3 linked regions of the Macaca mulatta genome follow. Each later gene encodes a partner of the first gene's protein in a complex. Links are inferred from orthologs where the notes say so. Each region holds a gene or a part of one and is shown in the gene's direction. Other genes may lie near its edges.

Evidence for each region. Proteins that work in one complex are often made in the same cells at the same time.
Region 2: QRSL1 (region 1) and GATB share a complex: the UniProt entries of both Homo sapiens proteins name them as parts of the heterotrimeric GatCAB amidotransferase (AdT) complex. The link is inferred for Macaca mulatta from reciprocal best matches to the Homo sapiens genes QRSL1 and GATB.
Region 3: QRSL1 (region 1) and GATC share a complex: the UniProt entries of both Homo sapiens proteins name them as parts of the heterotrimeric GatCAB amidotransferase (AdT) complex. The link is inferred for Macaca mulatta from reciprocal best matches to the Homo sapiens genes QRSL1 and GATC.

The regions. Positions count from the first base shown.
Region 1 is NC_133409.1:79,095,147-79,099,204, reverse strand, and holds part of QRSL1 (glutamyl-tRNA(Gln) amidotransferase subunit A, mitochondrial), read left to right. Parts: intron 1-1,860; coding exon 1,861-2,037; intron 2,038-4,058. UniProt on the Homo sapiens protein: Allows the formation of correctly charged Gln-tRNA(Gln) through the transamidation of misacylated Glu-tRNA(Gln) in the mitochondria. The reaction takes place in the presence of glutamine and ATP through an activated gamma-phospho-Glu-tRNA(Gln).
Region 2 is NC_133410.1:160,272,042-160,275,341, reverse strand, and holds the end of GATB (glutamyl-tRNA(Gln) amidotransferase subunit B, mitochondrial), read left to right. Parts: intron 1-311; coding exon 312-446; intron 447-1,910; coding exon 1,911-2,039; 3' UTR 2,040-2,350; downstream 2,351-3,300. UniProt on the Homo sapiens protein: Allows the formation of correctly charged Gln-tRNA(Gln) through the transamidation of misacylated Glu-tRNA(Gln) in the mitochondria. The reaction takes place in the presence of glutamine and ATP through an activated gamma-phospho-Glu-tRNA(Gln).
Region 3 is NC_133416.1:127,767,585-127,771,172, forward strand, and holds part of GATC (glutamyl-tRNA(Gln) amidotransferase subunit C, mitochondrial), read left to right. Parts: intron 1-1,449; coding exon 1,450-1,553; intron 1,554-3,588. UniProt on the Homo sapiens protein: Allows the formation of correctly charged Gln-tRNA(Gln) through the transamidation of misacylated Glu-tRNA(Gln) in the mitochondria. The reaction takes place in the presence of glutamine and ATP through an activated gamma-phospho-Glu-tRNA(Gln).

The DNA.
Region 1 (4,058 bases):
GACCAGCCTGGGCAACCTAGTGAGACCCTGTCTCTACAGAAAAAAACAATTTAAAACGACAGGGAAAAATATTTGTGACCTAGAATTAGTCAAAGGTCTTTTAGATAGGACGCATGAAGCACAAATCCACTTAAAAAATTGATAGACTTCATTAAGAACTAAAAAATTGATAGACTTCATTAAAATTAAGAACTTCTGTACTTTGAAATATACTACTAAGAAAGTGAAAACGCCAGCCACAGACTGAGAGAAAAATATTTGCAAAACTTGTATCTCAGAAAGAACTGATATCCAAAATACATAGAACATTTCCCACCTCAATAAGAAAATAACAAAACAAGCAACTGTATTTTTAAAAAATGAACAAAAGATTTAAACAGACATTTCATCAGAGATTAAAACATAGTTGACAAACACATGAAAAACTGCTTAATATCTTTGATCATTAGGGAAATTCAAAATTAAAATCACAATGAGCCTGGGCACAGTGGCTCACACCTGTAATCTCAGCACTTTTGGAGGCCAAGGCGTGGTAGTGGATGCCTGTAGTCCCAGCTACTCGAGAGGCACGAGAATCGCCTGAACTTGGATCACTTGAAACCGGGAGATGGAGCTTGCAGTGAGCCAAGATCTGCGCCACTGCACTCCAGCCTGGGCAATAGAGCGAGAATGTCTCAAAAAAAAAAAAAAAAGAGAGAGACAATGATAATTAAATGGAAGACCTGACTCTAGATTTGATCCAGGAAGGGGATAAAATGCCATAAAGTACATTATTATTATTAATTCTTTTTGTTTGTTTGTTTTGAGACGGAGTCTGGCTCTGTCGCCCAGGCTGGAGTCCATTGGCGCCATCTCGGCTCACTGCAAGCTCCCCCTCCCGGGTTCACGCCATTCTCCTGCCTCAGCCTCCCGAGTAGCTGGGACTACAGGTGCCCGCCACCACGCCTGGCTAATTTTTTGTAGTTTTAGTAGAGACGGGGTTTCACCGTGTTAGACAGGATGGTCTCCTGACCCCGTGATCTGCCCGCCTCGGCCTCCCAAAGTGCGAGAATTACAGGCGTGAGCCATCGCGCCCGGCCAAAGTACATTATTGAATCAGTTGACATAATTGAATTACGTACAGTAGATTAGGTAAACGTATTGATATTAATGTTACTGAGATTGATAACTGTACTGTGACTGTATAACATGATATCCTTATTCTTAGGAAATACACACTCAAGTATTTAGGGATAAAGGGCTATGATGTATATAAGTTGGACCCTTAAGATACCCTTAAGTTTCTATCATACTTTGTGTATATATGTACATATATATACACACAGAGCACATAAGTAGTAAAGCAAATGGGATAAAATATTGACCGTAGGTACATCTGGGTAAGGGGTATAAAGTGCTTTATATGTTATTTTTATTTTTGTAGTTTATCTGAGAATAAAATCATTTCAAAAATTTAAAAGAAAGTTATTAGCATTCCACTTGTAATGTTTTCCATAGAACTTCTGGTTAAGGGAGAGATTTCCTCAGAAGACTTAAACTGAATATGACCCTTTTCAGCTGGAAGACCTTGATTCACAAGGGGGAAATCATCTTCAGTTGAATTGGATGATCAAATGAGACAAAATCTTTTCTTAGCCGATTAGCTTTCTCTACTTTCTTCCACAAATGCTCTTCCTTCCCATCCTCCCCAACTGTCAATTAATGAAAGCTACATGTGAGCAGGCTTCCCACCTTTTTCAATTCAAGCTACAGTGGGTTCTTAAATGCTCAATGAGTGTCAGAAGCAAGTAATATACTCAGAAGATGAAATTTTCACAAAAAATGAAAGTTTTACTAAGGTATCTTGCTTCACTTCATCAGATCTGGGAGCACAGATGGTATATTTGGACCAGTTAAAAACCCCTGGAGTTATTCGAAACAATATAGAGAAAAGAGGAAGCAGAATCCCCACAGCAAGAATGAAGATTCAGACTGGCTGATAACTGGAGGGAGCTCAGGTGGGAGTGCAGCTGCCGTATCGGCGTTCACATGCTACGCGTAAGATGCTTTTCTCTATCTGTATTTTAAAACCCACCCATATACAAACAGTCGTAAAGTGTGTCCAGCAATAGACTAGTTCATACCTCGGTATTTTTCTTTTTAGTGAGCTGTATGTGCTCAAAGGTATATCAAAATTATATCTTGTAGTTGCACTCAACTGTACAGTACACTATGTATATTTAATACTTTTAATTTTAATTTAAGATAAATTTTTCTCCATGGTATCTGGTTCTCTTAAAATATGATTTTGTGGATCTTGTAGAATAAAGCATTGAACATAAATGAACTTCATTGCATTTTATTTTTAAATAATTTCAGTGTGTGCTCACTGATTGTACAAATATTTAGGGACTAACATACAATGACTTTAGTTGAGTGCTGCTGAACTAAACTGTTAGTAATGTTTATCCTTCAGCAAGGTCAGACTTTTGAAAAAAAAAAAAAGGAAAAAAAAGAAAAAAAATGCTAATATGTATTAATAAGATATTTTAAATAGTGTTTTCAGAAATCTGCAATTAAAAATGTACATCAGTAAGTAAAGTTTTCTCAAGCTTTAGGAATTTTTTTTATTGTTATTATTGGAGTTATTTTATTTCTGTACTTTGTATTTTATTTTATTTATGTATTTTTATTTCTGTACTTGGCTCCTCCCTCCTCCCAGCTTTAGGTGCTGATTCTGTTTATCTATCATCCTTTGTATTTGGTAAGAATCCATTGATGATATTTTCAGTTCCATTTGTAAAGCATTTCTTAACTACCCAAAGAAAAGAAAGTAAATATGGCCATTGCTATATTTATCAGTCTCAATTTAATCAAAATGAATGTGTTTCTTTAATAATAGTTTTATATTTTATCTCCCCTTAATTATCCATTAAAACTAAGTTCTTTCACACACATTGCAATCCATAAATTATTTATATATTTTTAGAGCTATGGAGATGTGAGTTCTGCAGATTTTTTTTTCAGTTTTCCTAAAATCTTATTAACAAGTAAAACCATTTCATTTGATCTCTGTGGAATTTTATAGCATTGCATTAATATTAATGTGAGTTATGACAAGTTAGGACTGCAGGATTAGGTGCTTTTTTTCTGTCCTCATCATCTCACTTAGTGTTCATCTTTCTGAATGTGCTTTGAGTAGATGGCACTTTGACACATAATTCCTATGGAAATGTAAGTTTTACTTTTACACAGCCGTCAGTGAATGCTAATAAGAAAATGTATCTTTTAAAATTGTGAAAGCAACAGTCTGATTTTGTAGCTTAACTTGACACTGTAAGGAAGGAAATATAATTTGCATTTTCTGAGTGCCATGTTATTGTTAGGAGCATTGTTCAGCCCAAAGCTTCACTTTAAATATAAGCAATAGAAGCACAGACCAAAAATAACTTCAGATTGAATGTATGTCAAACTGTAAAGTGTTCTGCTTTTGTTTCCCCCTTTTTGATTTGTTTCCCTCTTTTTGATTTGTTTCTTTTGCGATCGTTTTAAAAACAGGAAGATTCCTGGAGTACTATGCAGCCACTGAAAAGAATGAGTCAGAGCACCATGCAATGACATGGAAAAATAACCAAGATAAATATGTTAAGTGAAAAATAAGTCGCAGAATCCATTTCTGTTAAAAGTAACAATTGCATACATATATATGTCAGTCATTGCATAGAAGTACTGGATGTCTGGATGAATGCATATCAGAACTGGTAACAGTTATTGTGGGGGCTGTGATTATAAGAGAAATCTTACTTTATACATCATATAGTTATATGATATCTTAATTTTTATAGTAGATATGTACTATTCTACAGCACAACTTTTGTTTTCCTGAAATGGTTTTTTAATTGTGGTAAAATGCACATAACATAAAATTTACCAGCTTAACCATTTTTAAATGTACAGTTCAAAAGTATTAAAAGCGTTGTGCAATCAGTCTTCAGAACACTTTTCATCTTGCAACGCTAAAACTGTGTACCCTTCAACCCTCCTCCCAGCCCTGGTAACCACCTTCTACTTTCTGTCTT
Region 2 (3,300 bases), on another chromosome or scaffold:
GGCACCTGGCTGGCCCGAGTCCTCTCATACCCTGTGCTGAGGGAGACGTCAGCCTCAGGAGGAGACCCCAGGCGCGTTCATTCCACCTAGCTGGCCTTGTTCCCCAGCCCTGCTCTCAGGGATGCCTCAGGAGAGCCAAGGCCCTGGCAGGGCAGCCAGGCGCCCTTTCCCTTCGGGCCAGGCCTAGGCAGCGGGGTCTTAATTGAATCTGCTCATTCCCACCCTAGTTCTACACAGCACGGCAGTGCAAATGGAGCTGGCAGAAGAGCTGACTTCTCATTTCTCTTTCCTCTCCCTTCTCTGGCCCGTAGGTGTTTGAGGAACTGTGGAAGAGGGAAGGCAAGACTCCAGGGCAGATTGTTTCAGAAAAGCAGCTTGAACTGATGGAGGACCGGGGGGCACTGGAGCAGCTCTGCCACTCCATGATGGAGGCCCATCCTCAAGTGGTGACTATCTCGGGCGGGGGAGAGGGTCAGAGCCACCTGCAGAGCCAGCCCCAGGACACGCCCAAGAGCCTCGCCATCACTCTCTGTGGCAGCCCAGAGGCTCTTCCTAAGAATGACTGGCCCAGTTTCATCTACAATTCCCTCATTGTCATCTTTTTATTTAAGGTCAGAAGAGATGAAATAGGTAGATATTGGAAAAACACAACTTCTTTTCCTATAAGGAGGATACCACCCCTGGAGTTTACTCTCCATGGAGGTGTAATTTAAAAGGGTGTCAGCAAGCTCACGAAATCCAAGCTGTGACCTCCCAGGTGTGTCGCCCTCTCCCAGGGTCGGCATTTCGAATCTGGTGTGGTTAGCGCTACTTCCTAAGGACCTCCCAGTAAGGAACCAGCAGGTGTGCCTGCAGATCAAGGAGAGTACAGGAACTTCGGCTTCATGCTTCTAAGAAGTGGGAAGAAAGGCAGAAGGGAAAAGTATTTATAAATTGTGGAGAAAATCCCTGACAGGAGCATGGCTGAAAACCAGGTCATTTTGTGTTCTTAGCACAGCACAAGACAGAAAAGCTAAAACAAGTGGCATCCCTTCCTCCCCAAGTCTTATCGTATTGTCTAGAGATACTTTTCAGTGGGGAAAAAAATTGTGAGCCACTTTCTCAGAATAATACCCACCCACCCATCAGCTTCCCGGGGACACTTACAGCTCTGTAGAGAGCCCTCGATAAGGAAAGTGAGCCTGCACCGGGCCTCAGCAGCCTCGTCTTCCTGCCTCATCTGTGGTGACTGATAAAGACGTGCTAGTAGTTTCAGGCTTGTTCTGCGGGACTTGAGTGCAGATCCTCATGTCATTGCCCTTGGAGATGCTGCAGAGCAGGAGGTCGTGCGGTGGCCCTAACAGTCAGTGGCTATTTGATAAGAATTCAGTGCCTCCTGGCTTCCTCACTCCCCCCACCCACACAGCACACTCCCCCGACCCAGTGCTCCGGAAGACTTAGCCAGTGTGTAGATCTGCTTTCTGATAAAGGGATCTTCGTGGTGGGGAGCACGGGGAGAAGGAAAGCCGCACATTTCAGCTGAACGTCACTGAGAATCAGACAGGTCTCCTCACTGATTAGATGCAGTGATTCATCTCAGAGAGATTATCCCTCCCCAGACTCAGTATCCTCCGGTCATTGTGGCATCCCAGAGGAGAGGGCCCTGCCTCCCACGTGCCAGCTTCTCTGGCTTTCAGCAATCACTTCTTGCTCATTTTAATCAGAAAGCAGAGTAGCAAAAATCTCCTTTGACAGGAGCCTAGAAACCTACTCAGAAGTTAGGCCCCTCCCCTTTTTCTGTTCTTCATTTTTATATCTAATACTAGTGGAAATAAGCGGAATTTAATTTTCAGTAAACGTAAGCCTTAGTTTGGGATTTGGGGGCATGAGTCTCTTCATTTTCTCCTCTTAAGTAATTTCTGTCTTTCTAGGTAATGGATTTGAAGAAGGGAAACCCCAGAGCTATAAATAAACTGATTGGGTTGGTCCGGAAAGCGACCCAAAGCCGAGCAGATCCAGCCATGATAAAGGAGATCCTGGAGAAGAAGCTGTCTTCGTGAGATGTTTGGGGTCCCCATGCCCAAGGGAGAACAGTGCAGCCTGACTGGCAGCAGGATCCTGTGAAAGCTGACGCCCATGTGCCCTGTCAGTCCCTGTCCCGAGCCACAGCTGTGGCGTTATATATCACCAGTGTTCTCACCCTCTGGGCCCTGTGCCTGGAGGTGCCTCCACAGCCAACCGGCAGCCACCCCCGCCTGCTTCATCCACATCAGGAGGGTCCGGTGATGGCTGTAGCAGTGGTTAAGGAGTAACACCTTCTTGTATTAAGGAATTTTAAACTAAATAAAATGTTATGTTAGAGATACTGTTACCCATTCTAAGAAAACTTTTCATTCTGCAGTTCCTTCAACAAATATTTTTGAGCAACTCCTAAGGGCCAGCCATTGTCGTAGGTGGTGGGCATTAGCAGTGGTCAAGAGAGACTGTAATTTGGATATACTGTTTTCAGACCTAAACACAGGTTAACAAAGATGAAAACACAACCAAATAAACTGGCACGGTATAAACACACATTTGTTTAAGGATGTCTCAAGAGGGTGGGAAAGGAGGATATTATTAGAATTAATCAACCTATTGACTGAATAGAAGTGATACTGCCTGTTCAACTCCCTACCCATCCCAGAAGGCGCAGGTCTGAGAATAAATGAATTTTAAAAAGTAAATTTTCAAATAAATTTAATCAATAAAATATATACTGAAATATCACATAAAAATTAACTTACACTTCAAAGATTGTGCAGTTGACAACTCTCCCCAACTCCCCCAACCCTCAGGCCAAACAAGATAAAAAGAAACAAGAAAAAAGTTGTAACATGAAATTGACTTGTTTTGCTTGGAAATAAGATTATAAATTAGTAAATCACAATCTTGACCTTTCACGATAATGGTGGTGCGCTGCAGGCATGACAATGAAGGTGGGACTGTCTGCACCCCTGTGCTTGTGACACATACTGTTCTCTCCACTGCACCGGAGCACACCTTCATTCGGTATATGCCTTTGTTACCTCTGACTCACGTCCTTAAAGACCAGTTTTGCAAATGTTGTTTTTTAAAAGCGTACTTGTCAAAACCGTGATGTAAGAGAAGAAAATCCTTGGAGGCCTTGATTTGAAGCTGTGAACCTGTAGCCTACCAAGGACAGTACAAATATTCCCGTTTTGAACGCTGCTCCAGAAGCAGCTGAGGAACTAGAAAAAAGTGGACACCCCTCCATCACCAATTCAGCGACTCATGCTTCCTGGCTTGTACAGTTGCTCAGGA
Region 3 (3,588 bases), on another chromosome or scaffold:
TGTGTCTAGCTTTGGGCTGGGTGCCACACAAAAAACGAACTAGTCCTTTCCTAAAATAATCTTATTGTGACAACTTAGTTTTTTTTTTTTTTTTTTTTTTTTTTGAGGTGGAGTCTTGCTCTGTCGCCCAGGCTGGAGTGGTGCAGTGGCGCGATCTTGACTCACTGCAAGCTTCGCCTCCCGGGTTCACGCCATTCTCCTGCCTCAGCCTCCCCAGTAGCTAGGACTACAGATGCCCGACACCAGGCCTGGCTAATTTTTTTGTATTTTTTAGTAGAGACGGAGCTTCACCATGTTAGCCAGGATGGTCTCGATCTCCTGACCTCGTGATCCGCCCGCCTCGGCCTCCCAAAGTGCTGGGATTACAGGCATGACACACTGTGCCCGGCCAACAACTTAGTTTTTAGGTGTAGCCTTAGCCCAGATGTTCCTGTCACATCTTTGTCCCTCTACGACATGACTCAAATGCCATTAGGGTCTGCCCTCAGTCTGTGCCCACTCAAAGCAGGAGCATAGCTACTACTGAATACTGTATCAGTGATATAACAAACTGCTTGTTTTTTTAGTCCAAGTATCTGGAAGCAGGTTTACACACTTTTACACCTTGAAACAATAGTGAAGCCTGATGCATATGTTCAAGCTCCTGTGTGTTTTTTACCAGTTTGCCATCTGAAGGCTTTAGTAAACTCACTAGGTCCCATAGAACACTGGGAGATTCTTGAGCTGTTTGTGACACATCTTGCTCAAGGGCAGCTGCACCCATCCACCAAAAAGGGGCTGTGGTGGAAAAAGCATTCATCTTACGGGTACCAGATTGGGCTCAGATCCCAGGTCTGTTACTTAGGAGCCAACATCCTTAAGTCACTCTTGAGGCAAGTTTGCTTCCCCATCTCTGCTTAGGTTTCTAGCTTCATCTTCCAACCCAGCAGACCACACCCCAGCCTGCTGAACTCCCTGTCCTTCTCTGAATCTCTGAGCTCTGGGTTCTCTTGCTTTGGGATTCATGCTGCTATACCTGCCAAGAAGTCCATTTCTCATACCTTCATCCCCCAATCCAGCTATTCTGAGGATGTGCTACTCACCCAGGCTAGACTAGGTACCCTTTCTATCCTTTGGCAGGCTGTGCTAACTTCTGTCAGATTTAAAATATTATTTTATAATTGCTTTTACCTGTCCCCACCAAAAGACAGTTGCCCATATAATCATCAAAAACTATTTGTTAAATCAATCCAGAGAAGTGATTAGCACTTACTTCTCAGGGTTGTTGGGACAATCTATAAACTGTACGCTGTTATTTGGTCTACTGTTGATCCCAGCTTCTCTATCTTTGAACAGTGCCCATTAACTCAAGAATATACTTCTTCCTTGTTCTCTCCTTCTTGCCCCTTCCACCATCCCCTAAAAGCCCCCTTCTCTGAGAGGGTAACCTTGAGCTTCTGGGTTTTGTAGATGTCTATACCTGAGATCCGACAATGTGGTAGAAGGCAATTGTGCTGATGAATTACTACAAAACTCCCATCGAGTCGTGGAGGAGTATTTTGTGGCCCCCCCAGGTAGGTGTTGCCCAGAGTGGTTTAACAGATAGTCTCACAGTGACCTTAGGAATGAAGCAGGAAGCGTGAGGACCAAAGATGCTATGTGAAGGCACTTTGAAAAGGATAAAGTGCATACAGATGGTGACATTAAGGTGGCGGTAGGGTCCAGGGTTATACCTCTAGGGGGCAGGTAGTAACAGGAATAAGCAAAACAGGATTGGGGGGAAGTGGGGTAAAGGTTTAGAGTGGATGGAAATCTGGAGCTCAAGATCTGCCTAAAGGGGCAGCTGACATTCTGTGTTTCTCAAAGCCACAGTTAAGACCATGCCAGATCCTGTAATCGGCTCCAACTTTCTAGTATTCATACCATGAATAAATATTTGTTAGGTCTAGCTTTGGGCTGGGTGCCACAAAATAACCGGTCCTTTCCTAAAAGAATCCTTTTTTTTTTGAGATGGAATTTAGCTCTTGTTGTCCAGGCTGGAGTGCAATGGTACAATCTCGGCTCACCACAACCTCCGCCTCTCGGGTTCAAGCGATTCTCCTGCCTCAGGCTCCCGAGTAGCTGGGATTACAGGCATGCACCACCATGCCTGGCTAATTTTTTGTATTTGTAGTAGAGGCAGGGTTCACCATGTTAGCCAGGATTATCTCGATCTCCCGACCTCAGGTATCCACCCACCTCAGCCTCCCAAAACGAATCTTTTGTGCGGCCTTAGCCCAGTTGTTTCTGTCATATCTTTGCCCCTCTATGACATGATTCAAATGCCATTAGGGTCTGCACTCAGTCTGTGCCCACTCAAAGCAGGAGGAGCATGGCTGCTACCCTATCAGTGGTGCCAGGCAGGAATGTAAACCCATTTCTCCAGAGAACCTGGATACCTGGCATTTTGTGTGATATTTCTTTTCTTTTCTTTTTTTTTGAGACGGAGTCTCGCTTGGTCGCCCAGGCTTTAGTGCAATCTTGGCTCACTGCAACCTTTGCCTCCCAGGTTCAAGCAATTCTCTGCCTCAGCCTGCCTGGTAGCTGGGATTACAAGTGCCTGCCACCATGCCTGGCTAATTTTTTTGTATTTTTAGTAGAGACGGGATTTTGCCAGCTTGGCCAGGCTAGTCTTGAACTCTTGACCTCGTGATCCACCCGCCTCAGCCTCCCAAAGTGCTGGGATTACAGGGGTGAGCGACTGCATCCCACTGATATTTCTTAAATTTTAAGCGCTGGCAACCAATTCAAGCCAAATTCACCGTCCAAGCCAAATAAAACACACCTGCAAGCCAGGTGCAGTCTGTGAGCCATCAGTTTACAACTGCTGGTGTAGAGATTTGCATCATCTACCTACTGTAAATATTTTAAATAGAAGCTTTAAAATTAATGTGGGCTGACCAGTAAAATCCAGAACCTTGGATAGGTTGACTGTTTTTATCTCCTCTGCAGGTAAGTGAGTACTGGAGTTGTACTACCCCTCTGGGCCTTTGGGAGTGGGACTAGCCAAAAGCAGTCAGGTAGACTGCTAAGTGCCAACTTCCAGTTCAGCATATCCCCTGAGGGAGAATCATTCTGAGCAGACTCCACATAAGACATTGGCCCTGGTCAACTCAAGGTGCCAGTTAAAGGCAGGCTCTGGTTGAAGCAAGGATGGGAAAGGCAGCTAGAAAATGTGTAAGCTAAACTTTTTTTTTTTTTTTTTGAGACGGAGTCTCGCTCTGTTGCCCAGGCTGGAGTGCAGTGGTGCGATCTTGGCTCACTGCAAGCTCCGCCTCCCAGGTTCATACCATTCTCCTGCCTCAGCCTCCTGAGTAGCTGGGACTACAGGCGCCCACCACCACACCCAGCTAATTTTTCGTATTTTTAGTAGAGATGGGGTTTCACTGTATTAGCCAGGATGGTCTTGATCTCCTGACCCCGTGAGCTGCCCGCCTCGGCCTTTCAAAGTGCTGGGATTACAGGTGTGAGCCACCGTGCCTGGCCATGAGCTACTTTTATCATGCCTCCAATCCACTAAATCACCTGTTAACTGTGGAGAGAAAGGAGACTCTCCATCTCAGAGCCTGA